4 linked regions of the Schizosaccharomyces pombe genome follow. The gene in region 2 interacts genetically with the main gene of each other region. Each region holds a gene or a part of one and is shown on either strand. Other genes may lie near its edges. The genes, in order: mis4, clg1, cek1 and ppk18.

The links.
Region 1: of clg1 (region 2) and mis4, a mutation in one rescues a mutant of the other (synthetic rescue), as found in Schizosaccharomyces pombe (one study listed by BioGRID).
Region 3: of clg1 (region 2) and cek1, changing one suppresses a phenotype caused by changing the other (phenotypic suppression), as found in Schizosaccharomyces pombe (one study listed by BioGRID).
Region 4: of clg1 (region 2) and ppk18, changing one suppresses a phenotype caused by changing the other (phenotypic suppression), as found in Schizosaccharomyces pombe (one study listed by BioGRID).

The regions. Positions count from the first base shown.
Region 1 is NC_003424.3:391,125-398,765, reverse strand, and holds mis4 (adherin Mis4), read left to right. Parts: upstream 1-1,826; 5' UTR 1,827-1,876; coding exon 1,877-1,985; exon of another isoform or gene 1,986-2,024; coding exon 2,025-2,220; intron 2,221-2,263; coding exon 2,264-3,599; intron 3,600-3,642; coding exon 3,643-4,110; intron 4,111-4,154; coding exon 4,155-5,938; exon of another isoform or gene 5,939-5,978; coding exon 5,979-6,114; exon of another isoform or gene 6,115-6,153; coding exon 6,154-6,810; exon of another isoform or gene 6,811-6,850; coding exon 6,851-6,928; 3' UTR 6,929-7,138; downstream 7,139-7,641. Other genes in the region: ATP synthase complex assembly protein atp25, read right to left, coding at 1-1,057; pre1 (proteasome core particle subunit beta 4), read left to right, coding at 7,593-7,641. UniProt on the Schizosaccharomyces pombe protein: Plays a structural role in chromatin. Chromatid cohesion molecule required for equal sister chromatid separation in anaphase. May form a stable link between chromatids in S phase that is split rather than removed in anaphase.
Region 2 is NC_003423.3:1,745,271-1,749,399, forward strand, and holds clg1 (cyclin Clg1), read right to left. Parts: upstream 2,547-4,129; 5' UTR 2,157-2,546; coding exon 771-2,156; 3' UTR 507-770; downstream 1-506.
Region 3 is NC_003421.2:1,747,757-1,754,814, forward strand, and holds cek1 (serine/threonine protein kinase Cek1), read right to left. Parts: upstream 5,188-7,058; 5' UTR 4,894-5,187; coding exon 877-4,893; 3' UTR 506-876; downstream 1-505. Other genes in the region: nar1 (iron hydrogenase), read right to left, coding at 1-61, 140-232; SPOM_SPCC1450.12 (uncharacterized protein), read left to right, coding at 6,531-6,809, 6,878-7,058. UniProt on the Schizosaccharomyces pombe protein: May facilitate the progression of anaphase through direct or indirect interaction with the cut8 protein.
Region 4 is NC_003424.3:3,975,736-3,982,729, reverse strand, and holds ppk18 (serine/threonine protein kinase Ppk18), read left to right. Parts: upstream 1-1,874; 5' UTR 1,875-2,040; coding exon 2,041-2,171; exon of another isoform or gene 2,172-2,216; intron 2,217-2,534; coding exon 2,535-6,360; 3' UTR 6,361-6,478; downstream 6,479-6,994. Other genes in the region: SPOM_SPAPB18E9.04C (uncharacterized protein), read left to right, coding at 1-28; tRNA (guanine) methyltransferase Trm5, read right to left, coding at 6,651-6,716, 6,768-6,848, 6,898-6,994.

The sequences.
Region 1 (7,641 bases), on a different chromosome or scaffold from region 2:
TACTCAACTTTGTTGGAGACAAAGCTATAGTACTGAAAAGCGTATTGATATCCTTTGTAGTCAGTTGCAAAGAAGAATCTTTTCGAAGTCGCTCAAAAATTGAAAGAGTAAAATCCAAAGAAAAATTATTAGGATTTTGGAGATGCATTTTCTTATATTTTTCCAAAGTACTCGTCAGATTTTGTGAATTGACGTTTAACAAGATATCCTGGGTATCGCAATAAAGGGATGCGGCACTTTTTAAAGAAAAGTTACAAGTATGGAAACTTCTCCGAAATACGTTCGAGTGGTTATTAATAAAATTTGGAGGTAAAGAATTATCAGGTGTAGATTTACTAGTGAGTGAGACCCTAGATTGTTTGCCATGTTCGAGATCAGAATACAAAGTTTCATCCTTAACATGTTCAATATTGTCCAGTTTATAGTATTCCCTAAAATTTTTTGTAATTACATGAATGCTTATGCCGAAGTTTTCGATACTGAGACATGTCCAATTATTTTCAGACGTGTTTAATTGTCGGTTTGACAAATTGGAACGTTTCCTCATTCTCCGTTCTAAAATTTTTCTCCGAGATGCACTAGTAAGGCCATCTACGTTCACCGGTCCAACGTTTTTTTGTTTTAAAAGGCGAAGTAAGCCATTAGTAGCGGATACAACTTCAGATCCACAGTTGCAAGAAGCTAGTAAAATAAGATCTGAATCACACCAAAAAGAATCGGCGGGTGAGTTAACAAAACTGAGATCAGTGGCATAATACTTCTTTTTAAGAAGGTTTAACACATCAGCTAAAAAGTTTGGAGCACCTTTTGGAATAGGTGGCAGCGCAACCGCATCGAAATGCGCTTTTTTAGGAAATAGATTATGTTTTTCATCCACATACCATGGTTTTTTGCTTGAGACTTCCTCTGGTTGCGAATTAGCGTCATTACTTGAATTATCAGGAACTAAATTTTCAGGAAACTTTTGAGAAGCGAAAGGTCGTTTGTCAAATTTGCTTCGAAAAAAGGAAACACATAGTTTGTTGAAACGTAGATAATTAAAGCGATATGTGGGCATTTTTTAATAAAATATGAAATCTCAGCACAGTCATTAAAAATATAAGAATTAATATAATTGAAGTGTTACCTTATAAAGCCGAAAAAAGAATTTCTCAATGCTGTTCTATCACAGTATAACATGAAGACATTGTCTTCTGTTTGAATAGTAATAGATAAAACTTAGATTAAAGCAACAAAAATATTTAGTATGTTTTAAAACAAGACCGCAAATTATTAGGAGAAAACCAAATATTTAATGACCTTGGCACGTTTTCCTAACCAAGAGACCGATTCTAAATAGTGTTCCACTGTAGAAATACGTAATCACCAATATCCGAAATGTACGAACGTTTCTTATGTCAGCAATACTACATTACGCTATGATACACTACGTTGCGTATCACTATATGTCACATGTTCTAATTATATATCGTACCATTTATGATACGATATGGAAATTAATCTTAATGATAATCTATTAAGATCTATATTATCTGAATACTATAAATAGAGCTACTGCTGAACTCGTTCCTCAGTTCAGTTATGAGCTATATTAGTGATAGGTAACATTATAACCCAGTTAATACAATACCTATACTCAGTTGCTACTTATACAACCTGTGTATTGTAATATAATAGATCACAAGGAAAACTCACCGCAGTTCTACGTATCCTTAAATCAGATACCAAACTGCGTAGCTTACATCTTAATTGCATTTTCCCGTTTCGGTCTATTGCCTTAAACTTGTTTACGCTTTATATATACCGACGTTTCTTTGTTTTTAGATGAATGAATTTAATGATAAATACTTCCCTTTCTTAGCTTTGCAATGTTTTGATGCTTTTCGAGATGACACCTGAAACCTTTAAAAAAGTTAACTCCTCTAATCGAATTATTAAAGGGCTTCAATACACACCATTAGCATCATCAATCCCATTGGAAAATGGTATGCATACAGTTTGAACGCGTCTATTAATTTACATAGGTTTACAAAACGTATTATATCCATCTTCTAAATTTCAAAATGAGCCATTGCAACTTAACTCCGAAGAATCAAGTATTATGCAAAGATATGTGGATATGCTAAATCCTGGCGCAACATTCGTTAACGATTCTGAAACCTTTAATTTTTATAAAAATGCTCTTAGCGCTATGATAACGGAACCTGCAATGCCCGCAATGTAAGTTAAATTTTTTGAGGTTTTTTATCTGACAAATATAAAGGAGGGTGAATGCCAGTCCGGTCCTAGACCAAAAGGTGTGTAACAGTGACTCGTTAAGTGAATTAAATGATTTTACAAAATCTCTGATTCAGCCAAGTATGTTGATGTGTGAACCCAAGGAGAAACCTGATGCTTCTTCTATAAATACAAACCGTTCATCTTCCGACAATGGCTTCTTAACTCCGTCTTCAAGTCCTCGAAGTCCATCATGTTCTCGCGTATTTAACGCTGTTCAATTATGTAGCCCTAAAAAATCTAAAGATGATATTACTACCCCAAAAAAGCGACTTATGGAAGACACTTATTCGCCTCGTGAATCTCCCTCAAAGATCCAGCGGTTGCAGGACGTTTTGTTAAAGCAGTTGCAAGATACCAGATTACTAATTTCTCAAGTTATAGAAGCTGAGAATTCGGAAGATTTTTCATCGAATTCTCTCTTTATTAAACGAGAAGACGATGATGGAAAACACATTTCATCGCACGCAATTGAAAAGCTATATATGGCATTAACCAAGCTTAGTCGTTTGGGAGCTTGTGACAAATTGCTGGAAGAAGGGAGTATAATACTTGTAAAACAAATCCTTGAGAAAGAGTTAAAAGAGCTTCCTGTCGCTTGTTACAGTATAATTAATCTTCATGACAGCCTCACACAATTTCCGAATTTAGACTTTATTTTAAAGACCACTGCTCTTGTTCTTTTTATAATATTTCTGGTCCCCTCCTTTAAAAAGCTTCAAAATGAAGAATCAATTCTTCATTTACTTAATATCTTACATTCCATATTTGAGTACACAGTTCCTGAAGCGATTGATAACATCGTTCAATCAAAAACTTCCGATGCTAGGACTTCTGAAATTCAACATCTATCAGTTTTGTTACAAAAAGTCGCAAATGTATTAAACATCTTATCTAAAGTTGCCCATGAAATTCCCTTGTCGGAAGCTGTGGTCATACGCATTGTATATTTATTTCCCAAAGTCTCTACACTCGACAATTCCTTCAAAACTAAACTTCCTAACTGTAACAGCTCATCCTTCGATTTTCTTAAAGCTCCTTTATTTCAAACGTTACAATATTTATTTCGTCTTTATCCTTATCAGCGAGATTTTATCATTGAAGAATCACTTACAAATTTTTCTCACTTGCCCACTGCTCGTTCGGTCTCAAGGACCTATAGACTCTCTAACGGTAAATCCATACAATACTATTCAACCCTATTTGTACGTTTAATTCAGTCATGCTCCATTCAAAACTTATTCGACTCAGAAATTGTACAATCGGAGAGCAAATCCACTGAAGCTTTACACTCAGGTAACTTAACAGAACATCTGAAAACAGTATGTAATGAACACTAAATAAAAATCAATTTCTAACGTGTAGGTCGAATCAATACTATCCAAGTCTCGACATGAAGAATACCGGATAGCTAATCATATTGTTGCTTATTTGCTTAGTCGTTCTTTAAAACAGAATAAAACGGAGAGTGACAACTCATTTGCAATTTTAACCAAAATCCTTTTAGAAGATTTATTAAACATGCTTTCTTTGCCTGAATGGTGCGGAACCGAAACAATTATTCGGCAATTTGCAATGAATTTAGTTATGACTGTGACTAACGACAAACAAGCAGTTTCTTCAAAGAATGCTGCGCTGGATCTTATAAGTCTCATCGTTAACAAGGTTTTGGCATTGTTTGATCTTTCCCTTTTCGAGAAGCACAATATCCCAGCTCCTACGAATTTCAATGATATAATATCGTTCATTCCCTCAATTACTAGATTAAATGAACTTTCTCAAGTTAGCTTTAACCATTTTTACTTTTTATGCAAAGGTGACATATCTCTGGAAGTAAGTGAAAGTTAATTGCTTGTTTATTATATACTAACTTACAGAACATACTCCCTTATAACTACAATAAATGGTTTTCATTTCTCTTACAGCTTAGAAAAGTATGCAATGACTCCGAAGCTTTAAAAATTATTGATAATTGTATCGATAAGAATATGCAAAAGTCTCAAGAGGGGTTTCAAGGTCCTTCACCATTTAAAGCAGATGAAAATGACGAAGATATTTTCATTATATCCCTTTATCATTCTTCTTTGTTTTTAAATTTAAAGTTTTTTGTCTCGCTCATTATAGGCTTTCTCGATAGTCCTCAAGCTAGTCTTCGAACTAAATGCCTTCGAATCATCAATCAAATGAAAACTATACCTTCTATATTAAGAACACATCCAGAAGTTTTGGCTCAGATAATATCAAAATCGAATGATCAGTCTGCGATAGTTCGAGATACTGTGTTAGACTTACTTGGCACATATATCATGGCATATCGGGAGACAATTCCTCAAATATATGGTTGTATAATTTCTGGAATTTCGGATCCTTCAACAATCGTTCGTAAACGCGCTATAAAGCAACTATGTGAGGTTTATGAAGCTACCGAAGATTTAAATATCCGTGTTGACATAGCTTCAAAACTTTTAACCCGGAGTAATGATGAAGAGGAAACAATCAGTGAATTAAGCCTTGAGGTTTTAGAAAAACTTTGGTTTTCACCCGCAAGCAATGAATTAGATTGTCAAAAAGGCTATGAGCAATTAACTTTCTTAGAAAAGCAGAAGTTAAGAGTTCAGTATTTTCCTATTTTAAAACTATGTGCTGAACCATCAACCGAAAGACACGTCCTGTTGGTAACGTCTCTGAAAACCATGTTGACTTCTAAGGAAGAGATCAATTTGAGTACACTACACACTCAAATTCGACTTCTTCTCTCTTGTCTTTTCAATCAGCTAATAGAAGTTGTAACCGAAGATCAAGTTGATGAATCAACAAAGGGAATTTTATACGAAATAATGAGTACATTGTTTGTTTTTTCACGCGCTTTTCCCTTCCTCTTTGACTTGTCTTATCTACACCTCTTAAAACCCTATTTACGATCTGCTTCAACTATTGAAGAGCAACGTTTTCTTTACTATGTAGTAGCTATTTTTAGACAGGTTTTACCATTTCAAAAAGAAATTTCTGAAAGCTTCCTACGGAGCCTTGAATCTGTGTTACTGCAAAGGCTTACTAAAGCCGGTACTGCAACGTTAATGGAAATAGTTCCTTGTCTTTGCAGCCTATTTACAAGACTTAATGATTATGAAAGGTTAAAGAAAATTGTGGTTTCGTGTCTTAAATCTTTAGAGGAGGCACGACACTCAGAAAACAATTTTCAAAAAATGGTTCGCTTAATAGACCTCATTGGGCTTTTTTCTAGATATGGGGATCTCAATAGAATAAATGATGATTGGAAACATTCACTTGATTTTATTAGTCCTGAGTGTGATGATGCTTACGTTATACTATTAGGTTATTTTCAGAAACTTCTAAAAGATGCGAAAGGTCAGCTGAGAATTCACATAATTGATAACATGAGCAGAATATGTTTAAGAGAAACATCTTTGTTTATATCTCCTCTTATGTTATCAACTTTGGATATGATAATTGCGGAAAATAATGTTAACGAAGTATCTGTTTTGTTTAAATCTTTTCTTGAGCTTTTGGCCGCGGATGAGGATCTTATCTTTGAAGCAGATCAAAAGCTAAGTTTAAAGGGTAAGCAAAACGTTCAGTCCAACAAATCAGTTGATCGAGATATGCTTAAAGGAACTAAGGATAAACAATGGATTGAAGGGTATGTATTTTATAAACAAACTATCACTAATTTAATGCAGAGTCAGTGCATCTTTAATGCAGCATTTCCTTCCCTGTATTCTTGACTCTTGCTTTTCAAAAAATTTAAGGTATTCAATGCTCGGAATTGAAATTCTCAAATGTATTATTCATCAAGGACTAGTAAACCCACGCATGGTATGCCACTTTTTACTTTTTGATTACTAATTAAATTAGTGTTTCTCAACCATAATAGCACTCGAATCCAATGCAATTAAAGAAACCAGAGAAGTAGCAATTTTGCTTCACACTGAATTGCACCGAAGACATGAATCTTTGATAGATGGCTTATATGCTCAATCTGCAGATTTAATATTTTCCCTTCAAAAAACGGAGGAATATCAAACATTTAAGTTAGGCGAATTTTCGCCGTTCCAAAGTGCCTATACCATTGTCTCCGCTGATAAAAGTTCAAAATCTAGGAAAAAATTAATAATGCAAATATTAAAACCTCTTAAACTCGACGGGATTGATTTACCCAGCTTTACAGAAGAAAAAGTTTCATTTGTAAGCTTTTGCTGTGTATGTCTGGCAGGAATTCCATACGTGTCAATAGAGGAACCGTTAATGATCATTTCAACAGTTGATTCGGTGCTCGCGACGATAGGCCCTACTATTACTGGGTGGATGAAAAAACTAGATCATGAACGTTTTAAAATCCTTGCAGGTATCAACTTGTGCAATTTGATATATCTTAAGAGATATATAAAATACGCATTTTCAATTTCAGACTCATCTCGACCTATACGTGAGAAAAAGCCTCTAACTCTTTTGAATAGAGGTTATGTGGATTTAATTACTTCTGATGCTAAGCCAGATATTGTTTCTAAGTTGGTAAGTTAAAGTTCCTTAACCAAATTGCTGACTGTTTTAGGTGATAAAATTGTTTGAAGAAGAAAATATCCTTTCTGGCGAGGATCAAGTTGAAGGGGAACAGCTTACAGTTGTCTAAATGAAAAAAGGGATTAAAAAAAAAATCAAAAAGCTCTCAAGCAGTATATTTCAAAAATATTTATTTTATATGGGTTATCAATATTTTTTTATGAAAAAACAGGTTATCCAATTTGATTTTTACTCACAATAATAGGCAGCAACATTTAAAAGTTCTGAACCATGAATACAACTCGCTCCAAATTTCATTTATGCATTATTTAATACCAATAAGACATTCTTTTCATTTATTGTTTAAATAAGTAACAAGTAAACAGCTTGAGATCCTTTTAATTAGATGTTAAGACATAACTGTTAAATGACACTGCTAGTTCTTTAACTATTAATAATAAGAAACAATCATTTTTAGAATAGTAAAGGAACTTGTATCGTCCCAAATTTTTATTTTTTGAATGTAATATTCAAATCAGGATATTTATATGTTGTCAGAGTATTGAATTTTCAAAGTACATGAGTAAGCACGAAGAGATAAACGTGCTACTACGATTACACTACAACGGCGGTAACCTTTAAAAAAAAAAGAAAAAAAGCTATTTCTAAAACACAGACATTTAAACGATTGAGTGAATGATTTCGCCTATAGTTTTCCATTGGCATCTCGTTAGCGTACTAAACGTCTCAGCTCAGCACAACACTTTACCTTTACCAAACCACCATCAAAAGCCATGGAATCACTACTGGCAGTTCAGGGTCAGGATTTTGTACTCACTGCTT
Region 2 (4,129 bases):
CGACGAATGCGCAATAAAACTAGGTAATCATAACAAACAGTTTGGGAGTTGGAAAATCGCAATAAAAAATTTTATGCTTAATCCTTAGAAAACAGCAAGCAAAGGTTTCTCATTTAAGTATCAAAAGGAGAAAAAATAAACAAAATAAGGACAAAAACGATGCCCGAAGTAAAATCTTTGCTAATGAAACAGAAAAATAAACTCAAAGCATCCATGGGCCTTTTCATCTATTCACAATGTATTTCTTGATGAAGCTAGTTGTATAAGTAGACTACTAATTTTTGAAGGCGAACTTTAAAAAGGAAATCCGCGATCCCTATAGTAGTAGCGGATGTATATACATCAAGCAGTATTAACAAATCAGAATTGCATCAAAAGATATTCCAATAGATAACAAAGCCACACGAGAAAGCAAAATAAAAGTCCAACGACAAAAATAAAACAGATACTGATAAGAAGTTGGTTCCTTTTTTTCGGTATACTACTTTTCAATTTTTTTTGGGAAATTTTTTTTTTCTCTGTTAAAATTTGAAAAAATAAGAAAGTAGAAAAGCAAGATCAAACGGCAAATTAATTTCAAGAGAGCCGAATTCATCACGGAGATGATTAGAGAATACAATATGACGGGTTAAACAAAAGTTCCCGTCATACAATATGAAAAGAGAAAAAAGTTACAAGAATAACAAAAACACGTAAAGTGTTTATAAGCGCAAGGAAACGAAAAACAAACCCCGTCAAGCAACAACACCCGCAGAAAGTAAGCACGATCACTAAGTCATTGCATAGCGATTGTACACTGGATAATATCCCACGGGTGTATAGGGATAATAGTAGTTGCAATTAGAGCAAGAACGTCCAGAAGAGGGCGATGGTGGTGCGTTGGTGCTCAACGTAGTAGGGCTATAAGTTTTTTGTTCACCAGAGTATGTAGCGTTTGAGGAAGTAAACAAAGAATAAGAAGCACTCCACCACTCCCATGCCTTTTGACCACGAGGACCGGGACTAAGATTCCAGGACATGCTAGCTAGCCAGTCTTGTTCAAAGCTGTTCAACAAGGCAGTACGGAAACCAGTAACTTGCGACCAGGATTGATTGGTAAACGTATTGTCATCCAAAAACTTATTAGCCAAAATCAAGGCGGTCGTTAAAAGAGCACATATTTGGAAGAATAACGACTCCTTAGTCCACTGGTTTACAAAATCAGTCGTTTGAGATGCGGCGTCAAGACGATCGGAAAGGTATGACAAGGCAAGCAAGCAAGAGGCACGAGGTAAACGCGTAGACGTCAAAATTTGTGTAACGACCTTACGGAAAGAAAACACAAGACCAGGTAAAGAGTTAGCAAGAGAATGCATTTGAGCATTATTCAGGAAACGAGCATACAACTTACAAGTCATGATAGACAAGTATTCCACCATTTGATCCATCTTGTAATCCAGTTTAGCAGCAACACCTCCGGTATAAACGGTTTCTTCCTGATCCTCCATGTTAGTTTTGCAGACAGGAGAAATACGTTGTTGAACGTTAGCAACCGAAGGCATGTTAAGATTACCTGGGATTGTATTATCAGTCTCGGAGGTAGTAGTGGCGGTATTGTTGGTTACAGGCACATCTGCTACGGGATGTCGAGACTGATAAAAGGAAGGAGCACAATTGTTAGCAATCAAAGGGGCGGAAACGTTGTTACATGCAGCTGATACATTCACCGAATTGCCAAATTGATCTTGGTTAGGATTATAGGCAACGGCAGAGTCAGGCATATAGCGTTGCTGGGAGGGTGGTGGAGGTGCGGCAGATGGAACCGACTGATAAGATGGCCAGTAATAGTTTAGAGGCGCAGAAGGGTAGAGACGTGGTTGAGGTTGCTGTAAACGGTGCTGCGACAGAAGGGAAGGAACAGCGGAAGGATGATGAGAGGAGGAAGGGATGGAGAAGCCCGACCTTACCGAAAGCGTATCGGGCACAGAAACGCCAGGTAAGAAGGACGGACGACGCTGGCCAAGACCATACATAGGAGCATGACTCAACAAAGCAGCAACCGAAGAAGCAGAGTTTGCACTATTGCTGGACGAAACAGGAGCAAACATACTCAAGCCGGGGGCAGCCAAAGGAGGCTGAACTTGAGAACGTGAAGTGTGCTGATAAGGAAACGACATTGCTGAAGAATTTCGAAAAGGAAAGCAAATTGAAGAATTAAAAAAAAAATTTTTAACTCCTTTGCTATTCTACCTAATCAAGTCTTTTTCGAGTTTTGTAATCGATTTCTTGAGTACTCCTTTCAAGGAAAGAAGAATACAAAGGAAGAACGATAAAAAAAAATGAAAAAGAGATAAAGAATGCTCAACAATAAGAAATTTACCCAAGAGACAGGAAAAAGACTTATTAACACTCACTTCTAGCAAAACCCGACCAAGGAATGCTTGTTTCGCTGGCAAATAGACGAGGCTTAGTAAAAAGCTCGACTTCTGCAAAAAAACTGCTAATATAGAAGGAAAAAAATAGGATTGAACCCTCCAAACTAAATTTTACGGTGGTTGGTTGTGCGCAGGTTCTGAAAAGCTGGTAACGCAGTTGAAAATGCTTGCAACTTAGGAAAGAGAATTTTTTAGGAATAAAAAATTTCACTTTGTTAAGCACTGAAAAATAGCGTAGCGTTGAAGATTATTCAGCAAGAAAGTTAAACCCAAATTAAGATATCTAACGTAATAGATCGGTTAGATAACTTTATGGATTTTAATTAGCAATTGCCGGTGAGGAAAATTGGGAGCGAGGTAAACAAACAATGGGACAAGCAGGAAAAAAATCAAAGAAAAATAAGTTAAACGTAGCAAGACAAACAATAAGTATGTAAAGAGGAGAATTTGAAAGTTATCTAAATAAAGAAACAACTTGAGAAGTAAAAATCGAGTAGAAAGTGAAATGAAATGGAAGGAGCAATTAAAGAGGAGAGAATAAACAAGAACTGAGTATGATAGACGAAAAGTAGACGGAAAAAAGAAATTAAAGAGACAAGAGAAAATCAACTGGTGGATGTCTTTGTCGTATAAGAAAAGATGTATAAATAGAAATCAAAGATTAAAAAGGGAGGTAATGTTTACTTCAGCAAGTTGAGAAAAAAAAATTCAACAATTAGCTTTTCGAGACAATTTGGAGTGAAACGAAAAAAAAAGTAAAAAATAACAGTAAACAACAAAAACTGAAAAAAAAGGGGAGATGAAGAGCGAGTAAAGAAATCGGGTTTGTAATTATAAAAGGATAAGTAGGGATGAGCGATTAGATGAATGAAAAAACAGAGAGAGAGAGAGAGAGAGAAAAAGAAAAAAAAAAGGATTAAAAAGTAAAAGAAAAAGAAAAACAGACTACAAAATGTAAGCTGAAAAAAAAAAAAAAAAAAAAAAAAAAGTTGTTCAAGTCTCAAGACAGTATACAGTACGCAAACTTTTTTGAATAAGGGCTAACCAAAGCACTGAGTGAAGAGTGTATTGGCAGTTGGGGGGGAAGCCGTAGAAAGAAAGCAAGGCAGATGCTTTATATATATATATATATATATAACTATATGTACTTGAGTAAATAAATAAAAAGATGCGCGCATAAATACAATTGTAGCAGCGAAAGAAGAAAACGTAAACAAACAAACCAATGAAAAATTAGGAAACCAATGACAGCATGAATACTCAGGAAAATGAGAGAGAGAAAACGAAATTAAAAGAGGAGAGTGAAGGCACAGTAAAAGGAAAGGGAAACAAAATAACAAAGCAAAGCCAAAACAAAAACAAACGATGCTAGAAAAGAAGAAGGCGCGAAATCAAGGGCGCGCAAAAGAACAATTAAGAGTGTAGAGAAGAAAACGCGTGAAATTAAAAAATAAAAGGAAGAGAGGAAATGGGGAGGAAGGAAGGAGAAAACGCAAGCAAAGTTTGTTGATGTATATAGGCAAAAAGCCGTCGGAGCCAGAATGAGCATTAACGGAGCACATGAGAGGGAGACAAACCTTGTTGAGTGGAGAGTGGAAGGAGGGAAATGGAGGAAATCGTTAAATGGGATAATGAAAGAGAGAGAGAGAGAATAAGAAAAAAGAGCGAGGAAGAGTGGAGTGGTTGAGGGGAATAGTGGGGTGAAAGGAGGAGGA
Region 3 (7,058 bases), on a different chromosome or scaffold from region 2:
AGGTCTCTCCAGTATCCTTAGTTACTTCATAGTAAGCATCCCCGTCTATACGAATGTCATTCTATCATGTTAGTTGGTTGAACAAAAAAAATAGAGATGTGACAGATGTTATACTTGCTGCTCTTCCAATGCATCTTACCTTGGATTCCTGCTTTTTAACTTGGGCAGGCTTTATGCAAACAGCTCCAGGACTTAAGAAGTCATTCAAGTCATTTACAGACAACTTTGCCATTCTGCCATAAAATTACAATGCTTGCTAAAAGTAAAACCCAGCATTTGTCATTGGCACAAGAAATTCTTTATTTTAGTAATATTATTTGCCACACTGTGGTGCACTATCCTTTTTATGAGACCTGAAAAAAATAAATGAAGTATGGAATAGTGAAACATGGTTTACTGCCTTATTCGTTTGCATTCTCAGTACCCGAAAATCATCAATATATATATATATATGTATAAAAAAGAAGATACTTTATTATAGTATTGTATTTATCAAACAGTTTGAGCTTGTTATTTCCGAATGATATATTTTATTTGTAGATTTAAATAAGTAAAAAAAAACTAAAGAAATGAGGGTAAACAAAACGAGATCCGTATAAAGTAAAACAACGGTTATGGTAAATTAGTATACAAATATTTTCATAATGTTCTTCACGTGTGAAAACTTATAAAAAATGCAAATGTCCATGAATAAACAGCGGGTTCAAGTTAAGGAATGCAACGCACTGAAATAAATACTTAAAGAAGGATAAAAATGCCACATTGGTCAAAAGAAAAAATAGTTAATTTTTTAAAGAATGTGCATGGGAAGTTATAAAATGAAAGGAAAGAAACAGTATATGAAGCTGATCTGGCATTTAGTATGTAAGATTCAATTCAAGAGTGCCAAACATCTAACTTTCGTAGACAGCTTTCAATGTTCTCACAAGTAATGGGTTTCAACAAAACTCCATCAGATTGTAAATCAGTCGGAATGCAAGTCTCGTCCTCGCAAATGTATACAAACGGCACCCTTGAATTTATAGTAGCACTGGTTCGCACTGAATACATTAATCGGGAAGAAGATACTTTATCATTTCCAAAATGTAAGAATACGACGTTAAATTGCTCGTTCTGCAAAAGCTTCTTAAGAATGCTCCATGGATCATCTATTAGAACAAGCGTTAACTTTGGAAAAATTTTTTTCAAGATCTCCGCAAGTTCAATTTCATCCTTAGGAATTATCATTTGTAAACGGTCAAGCTGAAATAACCCTGGATAAGAAATGGCATTTCGCTTATGAGTTAAACTCTGAGCTTGTAAGTTGTCAATCCTGCCCTTCTGAATTGTAGTATGTTCATCTGATGAGGTACCCTCTGTAACGTCTGGTAACGCCGTGTGCATGCTTGATTGCGATTGTGATGCTGACATAGTGCTTGAAACACCCTTATGATCTTCTAACGCTAAATTATCAAAAAATGAAAGCATCCGACCTTCTTTCAGAGAATCAAAATCATCAATTGAATCAATTGAATCTGTAGTAATATCTTGCACTCTTGTCGTGGTGGATGCCTCATAGTCAGCCATTGAAGCTCGACGCGAAGACTTAACAGGACCTACACTTTGAGAAGTTGAAAGTTTGGCTTTAAACCTACTCATGTACTGACTAAAGGTGTCATCAACAGAAGTCTTTGCTGATTTAACAGCCATATGCTCCTTTCTAAGTTTTTGAATAGTATTCCGGTTAGCTTTATTAAGAAAATCCAAGTTTCGATATGTAAAACTTCCAAATTCAGGAGTACTAATCGTATTGCTTCGTAAACGACCTTTACGATTACCAGACACATGCTGGGGTATAGAGGATGCAGGTCTTTCTTCTTCCAATTTTTGTGCTTCTGTCACCGTAGGTTGATTGTAATATTCACTGAAATCAAATCCTTTAAGTCCCCTAGAATCAAAATACACAGTGTCTTCAGGAGAAAAAGGTTTTGGTACAAATGGAGGGTCCTCTTCTAAGATAGTATCCCAGTTAACAGACTTGAAAAAAGGATGTGCTTTTATCTCCTCTACTCCGTTGGCACCAAGCCTATTTGCCGGATTCATACATAGAAGGCGATCAATCAAATCCAAAGCAACACTACTTTCAGCAGTAAAAACTTCGGCAGGCCAATTGATGCGCCTAGCAAGAATATTTTGAAAGACTTGGTCAGGCGTTTCCGCGTTAAACGGGGGGTATCCAAATAAAAACTCAAAAACAACGCAACCCAAGGACCACCAATCACTCGCTTTAATACCAGGATTTCCAAGGATAACTTCGGGTGCTATATAATCAGGTGTACCAATAAATCGCTTAGAGGGATCTTTATTTTCAAAAAACGGTTGAACTCGAGGCGAATCTGTGCTACGGAAAATGTTGGATTCGTCTACCTGAGAAGTAGGAGTATTTGTTGCAGTGGGAGAATCCTCAGCGCTGTTCTCGTAATTGAAACTTTGTCCAGCAAGTCGAATACTAGTACCATCTAAAGAAAGAAGCTTTTCATTTAATGAAGGCCGTTTGGGACGCTCTGGTGTTATCAAAGACTGTGCTTCTAGTACCGATGAAGCAGTACTAAGTGATAAATCAGATATAGCACTAGAGCGATCTCTCAAGTCAAGTACAGGAATTGAAGAACTCTGTTTTCTCCTGTGTCTTTTCATATAACCGACCCGACTCAAACCGAAATCTGTGAGCTTTAAATGTCCGTTCTGTGATATGAGTAGGTTTTCAGGTTTGATATCACGATGAATTATTCCACGATCATGAAGATCACCTAGACAAAGAACAGTTTCAGCTATATAAGTTCGAATCCAATCCAAATCTAATACACCCATGGTTTTCAGAAGTGAACCACAGTCTCCGCCGTTAAGATATTCCATAACTAAATAAAGGTAGTCTTTTGATTGAAAGGTGTAATACAACTTGGCAACAAATGGTGATTCGCCTTGAGACATGAGAATAGCACGTTCAGCTCTAACATTGATAACTTGATTCTTTGCTATCATATTCGATTTTTTTAATATTTTAATAGCAAAATAATCACCAGTAGTTCTTTTCTGAGCCAGATACACAGAGCCAAACGCACCTTTGCTAATCGGCTTCAATATTTTGTAGTCATTGATAGAAGGATGCTCAGGGGCAGAGTTGGGTACAATCGTATGTATACGAGGTGATGGTGATGGTAGACGTAGTCCCACATCTCCAAGGTTGCTGGCCCTTCCACGAGAAAACAAAGACGAACGACCGTTAGATGCTGGGCGATTCGGACCATCAGAAGCCACAAATCTTGGACTCGAATTTGGAGAAAGATACTTTAAATCATCAAAACGAGGATCGGAGAAATTGGAATCAGATGCTTTTCTTCTATGTAACGGAGAAGAATAATTTGAACTATCTTGACTCATAGGCGAACCAATTGCAAAATCTGGATTACTAAGAGAAACATGGCTAAGATGCCTTGAATAAGAAGAGGATCTTGAAAGATCATTGATATCAAGGCTTCTATCAGATTGTGGTGTATTTGTAGCGCTCCCGGGTCGAGTAATGCATTCCTCTGCCTCGAGTGCATCGCAGGCATCAGGAAAGGTAATTGAAGGCGCTAATTTAGATTCCAAGTGTCCTAAAGAAGTAGAGGAATGATTTGTTACCAAATTCGATACGACATCATCAATAATTTCTTGAACATGATGGTCAATTTCCAAACGAATACGTTCAGAGTAATAGATTGCATTTCGAAGACGCAAAACTCCAGTAATTTTAGTATCAACTGCTGTCTTTATGTCCTCCCAGAGAGCAATCACTGCGGATGAGCAATTTTCTAAGGACGGGTTATAATTATCAAGCTCGATAGTAGCTTTTTCTGACCGCGGAGACTGAACACGAAGAGAATCCACTTTATCAAAATTCACAATGATTTTCACTGGAGGAATAGTAATGTCGATAGCCACTTCCAAGTAGTACATAACCTGACTTAAGAATGAACATAGTGATAATGTTTGTTTATTCTCATCGGTAAAAAAATAATCATCCGCATCAACAATAAGCGGTTCATTTTTGTATACGGGAACAAGACTTGAATCTTTCTGCATTCCTTCCTGAATTTCCAGTAAGGTACTCCGGAAATAAAGCAAGGAATCCTGAGCAGCCTGTACAACAGATTCATAGGTGCTTGTGCTAAGACAAAACTTGGAGTGCAACTCGAAAAACCATGATTGTATTTCACGTTCACATATTTGGCAAAACTCTGGGGTCGGAAGTGGTAACGCATCTAAGCTGTTATGCTTGTGATAGGAAGTCCTTAAGTCGCATAAATATTTGTCTAAAAGACTGGCACCGAAACCGATGACATCCAATAATTTAGTTACAAGAGGAGATACACTACCAAGGGAATTGGTAGCTGGGTTCACAACCCACATCGTGTGTGCGGGAATTGCGGACCCAGGATGACGAATGAGAATTCCAATAGCATCAAAAGGTTTTGTAATTTTTTCATCGCTTGGAAGATCTCCTTTAGCGGTGTAATAGTTTTGATTGGCATGATTAGCGTTAATTGAATGTTGGAACCGAACATGATAGCTATGAGAGTCATCCTTCAAAAGACAGTTAACGGCTCTCATAAACGCATTGTATCCATCGGTACCAAGGACTTCTGCTACAGAATGCCCAATGATCTTGTCTTTGGGTATATCCAAAAGTTCGGATGAGTTATCGCTAATAAATTGAAAGTTTCCGGAAAAGTCAAGCTCGAATGCAACGGGAGATAAAGGAATGGAAGGTTGAAGGTTCTCATCTTTTGAGCTGAGAAGCTCTGCCTGGGAATGTTGAGCTTGGTCATCTTCCAAGAAGACTTCTTCGCGTTCGTTTTTTATATGCTTCATATACAACTGACGGAGTCTCCAGCATACAGTAAATTCAATAGAGGGATAGGATCATTAGAAGTATGAGCAGTAAGTATGCTAATTCGACAACTTTTTATATAAAACAAATAAACGCGCTATAAATAACTGAGTCACTGAAAAAACAAAGGAAAGAAAAACGAAGAGTATGAAATACCCAGCTGGATAATTCTAAAACAAACAAAAACAATTCTTTTAATAATGATAGAATTTCCACTCAGTATCTATACAATCAAGCTAGAAAAAAAGAACGATTTTTAGTACTTGGTGGTGGTTAGGAGTTAAGTGGCTTACAACTTAGTATTAGTATTGTGGTTCATTAGTCTGGCCGCATAATTCGTCAACAAATAAAAAATTTTTTCTCTGCTTCAGAACATAAAGTTATGCTTGTACAGCATGTATAATACTAGATAAGTATTCGGGGCGAAGATTTCATAGCAATGAAATGAATTAGGGTGGAGTGCTGTAAAGTAGCCAAGTTGAATCGACAATGTGAAGTAAAATAAACAATTTAAGAACAATTGTTTTAGCTGCTGGATTATAAATAGACAGTATGATGCCTATGGAATTTATAGATGTATGGGCACAAAAAATGGGTAAATACATGGGGTAAACATCAACATTTATAAAAAAAAAATGGTTGCAAAATTAGCACGCAAACGTTTAAAGATATCACTTTGTTTGAAAGAGGATCAATTGCTATGCAGAAGCGTGTTAGATTGGCTGCGCTTTTTTTTTATTATGTCTAGAAAACACAGACTTATAAATAATACCATCATCGCTTGGGAAGTACAGAAAAGTATAATAGAAGAATTTCAACTTGTGGGAATACATAAGCTATTTAAAAGGAAATATTTTGCGATTGCAGCTGATCTCTATATCATTGATTTTTCAATCGAGTGAAAGCAGACGGACTTGTCTTGAGTTTTTAAAAAATAAAAATAAAAAAGCACAGTAGTTACAATTAAAAATAATTATTAATTGGAATATGATATTTCCGTTTTTTAGGAATCGCTTGATCTCTTGTTTACAAAAGTAAATGATATGTTGTTTATTTTTTATTCAGTTTGTGTTACTCTTTTAAAAAGTCTAATATAACAAGATATATGAATTTGGACTTCCTATTATTTTACTTCTTTTTTTTTTTTTTGAAAGTTTCTAAATTTTTCAGAGAACAGAAATCTTAAACTATTTCCTTGCTCATTCAGAGGTGTAAACAAAGAATACGGAAAGCGGTCCATTCTCCCGCAAAGTTATATAAAAAAAAATGGAGCAAGCAGTATACAAAAAATCACATAATTAAATTTATTTATTAAGGAATGTTTTCTCATCAATGAATGTTTCCTTTTGCCTACCTTTTTCGATTTCTGCACCTTTTTAACATTTTAACATAAGGAGTGGTAGTGTAGAAACCATAAACCTAATTAGCGTACTTTCGCTTATTTTAACTTAGCCTTCACATCTTATACTTTTTAACGTATACTAGTCAAAAAATATTTTAACGAGTGTCCCTTAAATGTCGGTATAGACCTAGGTGAAATAAATATTACATATATTATTTACGAACTGGTACTCCCCTCTTACAGCATTCCGTGTAGCGGATAATTGATATTTACGACATGGATACAGCATCTCCAGAAGAGATAGATGCTTTAAAAAGACACTATTTGAAGAAGGAACTTTTCTCTCTTTTGATCGCAGACGAATTGAACTTCGTGAGCGAACCCACCAATTTGGATCATCTCGGTAGTCCATTTGTGGAAAAAGGAAAATCCGTGATCCCCTATGAAAAATCCCAAATTCCCGTTTTACGCTTCATCTTTAAAAGATTTATTTTAACGTTTCCGTTTTTGGATCCTGATAGCCAAAACCAACTTTGGAATGTGAACTTCCGCAATGTACGTAATAATGGATGGAAATGTTTTAAAAGTATGCGGATTGTTACTAACCAGATATTCTTTGTTAGCTATTAAAATCTCTCTCAAAAAGCAATGTCTCTGTTCTCCCGGATGATTCCGATGCTACGCATTTGCACAAATGGTTGCTCAAGTTCCAAAACATGCTTACTCTACTCATGAGTCGAGCATTTCATAGTATCCAGGATGAAAAGAACATTAACATTGAATTGCTAGATACCCCAAAATTGG
Region 4 (6,994 bases), on a different chromosome or scaffold from region 2:
TCTTATTGCGCTTTATATGGTCGCTTAGGTGATTGGTATGCGATGAAAATTTAACTTGTGGTTTGATGAAATATATCTGATGGTTTGTTGTTTGTATGATCGTGGTGACCGCTGAATAATATAAACTTCTCTATGTTCATTCGAATTATCGATTAGCTAAACTGAGCTCAAGGCTTTTTCATGTGCTTTTTTTGTTCTCGTTCACAGCGGTTATCGGTTATTTATTTTTTACGAGCATAACTGCATCTCAAGAATCTTTTATATTTCTGCCCGCTATGTTAGTAAAGCAGAGTATCTAAGAAACCTGACACTGTTATGGTCGTCTATTTTTTTGAATTCGTGATTCTTTAACATCTCGTAATTTCATTTCGAAATATAATGAATCTTTAGCTTATAAGAAAAGTCATGTGATTAATGTTTTCAAGTAAGTTGTAGCTAAGAATAACTAATATTGTATTGTGTAAGTTGTTAGATTATACAGTAATATTGCACTATTATGAATACGACAATGATGGAGACGTTAATTTCAAGTTGTTAAAGAAGAAGTTGGTGTAAGTTTTCCATGTGCTTGAATTATCGAGCAATTCCTAATTTAACCGTTTTCCACACCACTGTTCTTCCCATGCTAACCTAAAACTAATAAACAGTTGCCAGGGATGATAATATATTTTTTATTGCAAATTAGTATCAGCCGATGCGTTTTCTCTAAAAATGGGTTTTACCATGTATGCAATAAAATGATCAACTTGTGATGAGTGAGTTATTCTCCCTACCAAAATTTTCGTTACGATATGGAAAATTTAGAAAAAACATAGTAAAGGAAATCGTTTTGCTTTTCGAATGAATTTCGGGGGTTCAACTCTAAAATGGAACTTTTCTTTGTGGTAGTGTACACGCTATACACTCTTTTAGTCAACTGTCAAGTAATCGAATTTGGAAATATGATCTTAACATAGAGTATAATGTATTCTTTTAAGATATACGGAAATTTATTAGAACGCTGTGCATGAGAGCGTGGGAGTGTAAAATCCGGTACAGAAAACGGTTTCTCTGATGACCCATCCATTACCAATTTTATTCAGCAGGTACTAATGAAAAGCGACAGAAATTATGATTTTGGAAAAGAATAGCAGTTATGACCTACTTATCTATTAACAAATTGGTAACTCCTTATGCATCAATAATACATATGCATTCCTTACCAACACAGCTGTGAGCATATTGAATGATGGGGTGTCTAAACAAAGCAACTCGAATATCCTATTTTCAACACTATGAATGGGCGCATTCATCCCTATTCCAACAGATCTGTAAACATTAGCCTGTGAACAAATTAGTAGTGCGAATCGGAGGAATAGTTGGGCTGCAAGGAGGGTATCCCTGCTTTAAAGAGGGATTGAAGAAGAACAGGTTTTAATCCTAACTGCCAAAATATCAATCCTCCATCTATAATTGGTACTAAGCGGATTAAGCGCATACGTGCATGCGCGCAGTCGCACTTTTGTTTGAGACCTTTCCGCGCAAAATCATGTTACAGAAATGAAAGCAGAATAACACATCATGGAAGACATTTCCAAAAAAAATCCGCATTTCTACAGCTTGCATTACATTGTCTCGCTTTCCTTTCAATCACCAACCTTTTTTCATCTTGCAATGAAAATTCATAAACCGAAGTATAGCGATCAACGATATATAATTATATAATTATTGCCATCGAAATCGTTATTTAAGACATCGGCTCGCGATCTCTCCCCTTAGTGAATCCTGATCAAGGGATAAGTAAGCACAGGTATCAATCGTCCCAGGGTAACAATGATTAGCCTCTACGCACTGCTCACTCATATAAATATTGACACAGTCATCAAGAGCCACCCACGTTCATAAATTGGGTGTTTGATTAGAATATCAATTGGTTACCGTATTGTCTATGTTTTTTTAGTCGATAGATTGGGTTTTATGAAATAACGAAACGCTAATTGTATTCGAATGGTTTTACTTGTCGCACATTAGGATCAAAATCTGAATGGAGTTATAAAGTTAATGGTAATGCAAGAACGCAATTCCAACGAGGATAACAAAGTAAATCACGGAATAGACAACATTTATGTCTTGGAGTTAGATTTAGACGGATCTGTGCTGTTTGCAAGTACAAACTTCTCACAGATTACCGGGTAAGTGCAGTGGAATAGCGGGCGATGTTACGAAATTTCTCTGTGTTGTTGGCAGAAGGATACCATTGCTTGCTAGAATATTTATATTGTACATTTAATTTGTATCTTTCTTTTAACGATTCGGTTGGTATGACTTTGCAGATTACGCAAAAATAGCCATTGAATAAGGCTTCAATTGCCTTGATCTGTAAGTCATACGTATAATACTTAAATCTTCTATTTGCTGCCGACCTGTTTTAGTTCTTTTAAGCTGGATTGGCCAAGCTATGGCTGATACTCCTTGGGTCGCCTCTGTCCTTCAACTTTTGAAATCTTGCTCTTTTTCAATTTATTGCTAGGTCTTTTACTAACCAAGTTGCATAGAATTAGTTCGTTAGAACTTACTGGCAAACCTGCAGCTCTTCTGTCATCCGACCAGGAGATATTCAACGCAGCCATTGAACAGCTTCTTGACGATGACTCCCACAGTGTTAAAATTCATACCGTGATTTCGAAGCTGCCCTCCTTGGAGGAAAATGTCTTTGTTCAGGATGAGGAAATGGAGCTGCAATCAAAGTCTGTCGAATTGGATTGCGTTGGTGTCCTCATTCGTGATCCCTTAACCAGCCGACCCTCTCATACATTATGGGTTTTGCAACCTTTGAAGCCCACGCGAATCACTCGTCAGGAAATAGGCCAGCAACTCACAGAAACTCTAGGTTTTGGAGCTCAGTTACTGGCCCAACATCTTGAAAAGCTTCAAACCGTTCCTTCCACCGATAGTCTTCCTCCCTTTGAAACAGTACTTTGCAGGGTTTGCGATCATGAAATTCAAAATTGGTACTTTGAGCATCATACTGAACTTTGTCTTCTCATTCACCATGCTGAAGCACGTGCTCAAGAAGCAAATGACCTTCTTAACGAACAAAGAAATGCTTTACAAAGTTTGTTGGATTCTTTGGACGATCAGATAGAACCAGATGTATCATATTTGGGAGTTCCTCTCGCCGCCGTCCTTCCTTCCTCTATTACTTCCTCCGCGAAGTCGAATTCCCGGTCATCGTTGTCCCAAAAAATTAGAAATTACATTAGTAACATGCTGTTTGATGCCATAAGTTATACAGATAGTTGTTTAGCCATCCATTTACCTTTCATACCAGAATCCACTACCAGGGAAGACAATCAACCATTTAGTGAAATACGCTTATTATCACCAGCTAGTGAGGTTTTCAATGCAAAAACTCTTTCATGGTGCTTACCACATATTGATGACCCTGGGTTGCAATTGATGTTTGAAAACACGGATGCCTTAGTAAAAAAAAAGCTTGATGCCATTAATCGTCTCAGCAACATCATCTATTATTCTGAGCGTGTTCGTTGTGAAATTGAAGATCAAGTGCAGACCATTATTGAACAATCCATTCAAGTTGATGGTTATGACGAACCTCTCAGTACTACGACTCCTACACTTATTGAACCAATTCAAGAAACCCTTATGACACAATCTCCTATTATTGAATGCGAACCATTTAATACAGTTAAGCCTTCTGTTTCTCCTGAGGAAGTGCACGATATTTCACAGTTCAACCATAGGAATGATCCGCCGATTACTGCTGCTAGTGTTGATTCATCCAATTCTTTTTCAGTCCACCGTTCCTCTACAAATCACAGTAGTACTAATAGTGGATCTCCCAACCTAAGCCGTCGCAACAACCTTGCAATCCCCATTGCTTCTAGAAGAAAATCTGTGAGTGCAGTTAATACTTTATATGGAGTTGGTTCTTCCTATACCTCTGAAAGTTTTCCCTTTAGTAAACTTACTGTCCCAGTTGAGCGTAATTCTTTCCGTGAAACAGAGTCACCAAAACCATTTTTGAGTCGCCAGATTGGCATATCGACACTGTCATCCAACATTAGCAGTGGTAAAGGGACTCCTTCTATTCAAGATTACGAAATTATAAAGCCTATTAGTAAAGGAACCTTCGGCACTGTTTACCTTTCCCGTAAAAATACCACTGGGGAGATTTACGCCATTAAGGTCTTAAGAAAAGTTGACATGATTTCAAAAAATCAGGTCGCTAATGTGAAAGCTGAAAGGGCTGTGCTTATGGCGCAAGAAGAATCTGCATTTGTTGCAAAATTGTATTATGCCTTTCAAAGTAGGGATTACCTCTATCTTGTTATGGAATTCATGAATGGAGGGGATTGTGCATCCCTATTAAAATCGTTGTACACTATACCGGAATCGTGGGCAAAAATTTACATTGCTGAAGTTGCATTAGGTCTTGAGCATTTACATAGGCTTGGTATAATTCATCGTGACATTAAACCGGACAATATCCTTATGAGTATTACTGGACATCTGAAATTAGCGGATTTCGGCTTAAGTCAGTTAGGTTTAACTACACGGCAATTACGTTTACAAAAGGGTAAAAATAATATTTTGTCACCACCCAGCTTTCAATCTCCTACTGCGTTGGGTGATCCCGGTGATAATATTGCCAGTTCTCCCTTGATTTTACCTACCAGTGTTAGTGCTTTTTCGTATGATGAAAAATCGCAAAAGCAAAAAACAGAGTTGGCTACATTTACTACGTATAAAGAGGATGATACCACTACTACTACTCGTACGAGCATAGATAGCATCTCTAGTAAATATTTAGAAAGTCCAGTTGACTCTCAGAAAGTCAATCGGACTCCTAATTTACAATCGGTTCCTTTTTTTAGACAACCTGATGCTCCTAAAAGATTCGTTGGTACTCCTGACTATTTAGCACCTGAAACTCTTCGCGGAAGTACACAGGATGATATGGTTGATTGGTGGGCTCTTGGCTGTGTGTTGTTTGAGTTTCTGTTTGGTTATCCACCTTTTCACGCAGAGACCCCGGAAAAGGTATTTGAAAATATTTTGGCTAATAACATTGCATGGCCCGATTTAGAAATGTATCCTTGTTCCGAGGAAGCATTAGACTTGATTAATGGGTTTCTACAGCCAAATCCGGAGAGACGACTTGGGTTTTCGGATATTAATGAAATCAAAGAACATCCTTTTTTTAATGGGATTAATTGGGATGACATTTTTTCACACGAGGCTCCTTTTATACCTGCACCAGAAACCCCACTTGATACTGCATATTTTGATAGTCGTGGAGCTGGGGCTGCAGAATCTAACATGAGCTCATCTGTAAATAGCGGAGAGGAAGTTTCTAAGGATAATAATGTTTCTCAGGAAAGAGGTTCACAATTCCTTCGTTCATCTCATGGTCGCAGTCGTGAGAGAAGTACGTCAGCTCGTAGAAGCCGCCGATTTAGCGAAGCTAACTCAGAGTTTGACGAGTTTGGTCCCTTTTCTTATAAAAATTTAAGCGTTTTGGAAAGAGCTAATCGAAATGCTATTGAAAAAATAAGATCAGAAATAGCTGGCAAATTACATATATCCCCTCCGGATCCACACATTGGATACACCCCTGGTTCCGATATGCCTTCTGCAAAACTTTATGATCAGCAACTAACTTTAAGTCCCTCTTTAATGACAAACCAGGGCTCTAATTTTTCTTCCACTGATTCAACACCTAGGAAGTCCATTAACAGTTCTGATGTTGAATCTCGTTCTAAAACTGATGGCCCGAAGTCAATGCACGATTTGATTAAGCAACTGCATATGCGAAAGCATAGCTCTCATACGAATCAATCAACTGGTTCTTCTGAAAGTGATGATCTTTTTAATCTTGATCTTCCGATTTCGAATTTGGAAACTTCATATCCGTTTAAAATTGAGGAGGGTCAAGCATCTCCTTTGTCTTCTCCACTCTCAAAGACCCCTCCTTTTTTCTCTTCTTCAGTCCCCTTAAAGGCTTTGATATGTGTCAGCAAGCTGAATTTGTTTTCAGAGCTGATCAAGTTACTAAAATCATACAAGTTTCAAGTATCTATTGTTACCGATGAGGACAAAATGTTAAGAACTTTAATGGCTGATGAGAAGTTTTCGATCATATTTCTGCAATTAGATTTAACTCGTGTTTCTGGTGTTTCTATATTAAAGATTGTTCGATCAAGTAATTGTGCTAATCGAAATACGCCAGCTATAGCTTTGACACCTACCAGAATCGATATTAATGCTGCTATTCCTCGCATGTTTGATGGACGGTTATACTTGCCTATCAACGCGTTCCTTTTACGTGGTTATATAGCCCGGCTTTGCAATAAATGAGTTCAAACGTTTGTTAATCGTGATTGCTCATTTTTTGTTGTTACCATACTCTCTTTAATTTTTTCCTTTTTGTTTCTCGAATGTATAATAATTATAATAGTAATAATATTAATAACACTAATTTTTTTGAAAAAAGTTTACTTTTGTCAACTTACAAGACTTTTTTGGATTTATAACTTTTATTTTTACTGAGGTTTTTTCTACAGGATATGTAACAGTTAAAGTAATGAAAAAATAATAAGCCCAAAATAGCTCATCTTCTCCTGAACGACATTTCAATCCTATAAAGACTAACCTGAAACCGGTTTAGCAAATATTATAGAACCAGGTAACGTGAAAGTACAACAGTACATATCCTAGTTGTTTAGTTAGTTACATTAAAAGTGCTATATAAAGAAGGATATTACCTTGTTGGGAGCAACTTTTCGGACATAATAAAAGTCAACTTCTTCAGGAGAAAAACGATACCCCAACGAAGCGTATATCCGCTAAAAAAACTTGGTTAGTAAATTTTCATTTAAAGTAAGCATTTCATACATTTATAAGATCTTCCTCAGGATCGGGAAATCTACAAAAGCAGTGAACATGAACTTTTGGAAGAGAGCGGTCTTTAAACAAGTACTCCAATCCATAA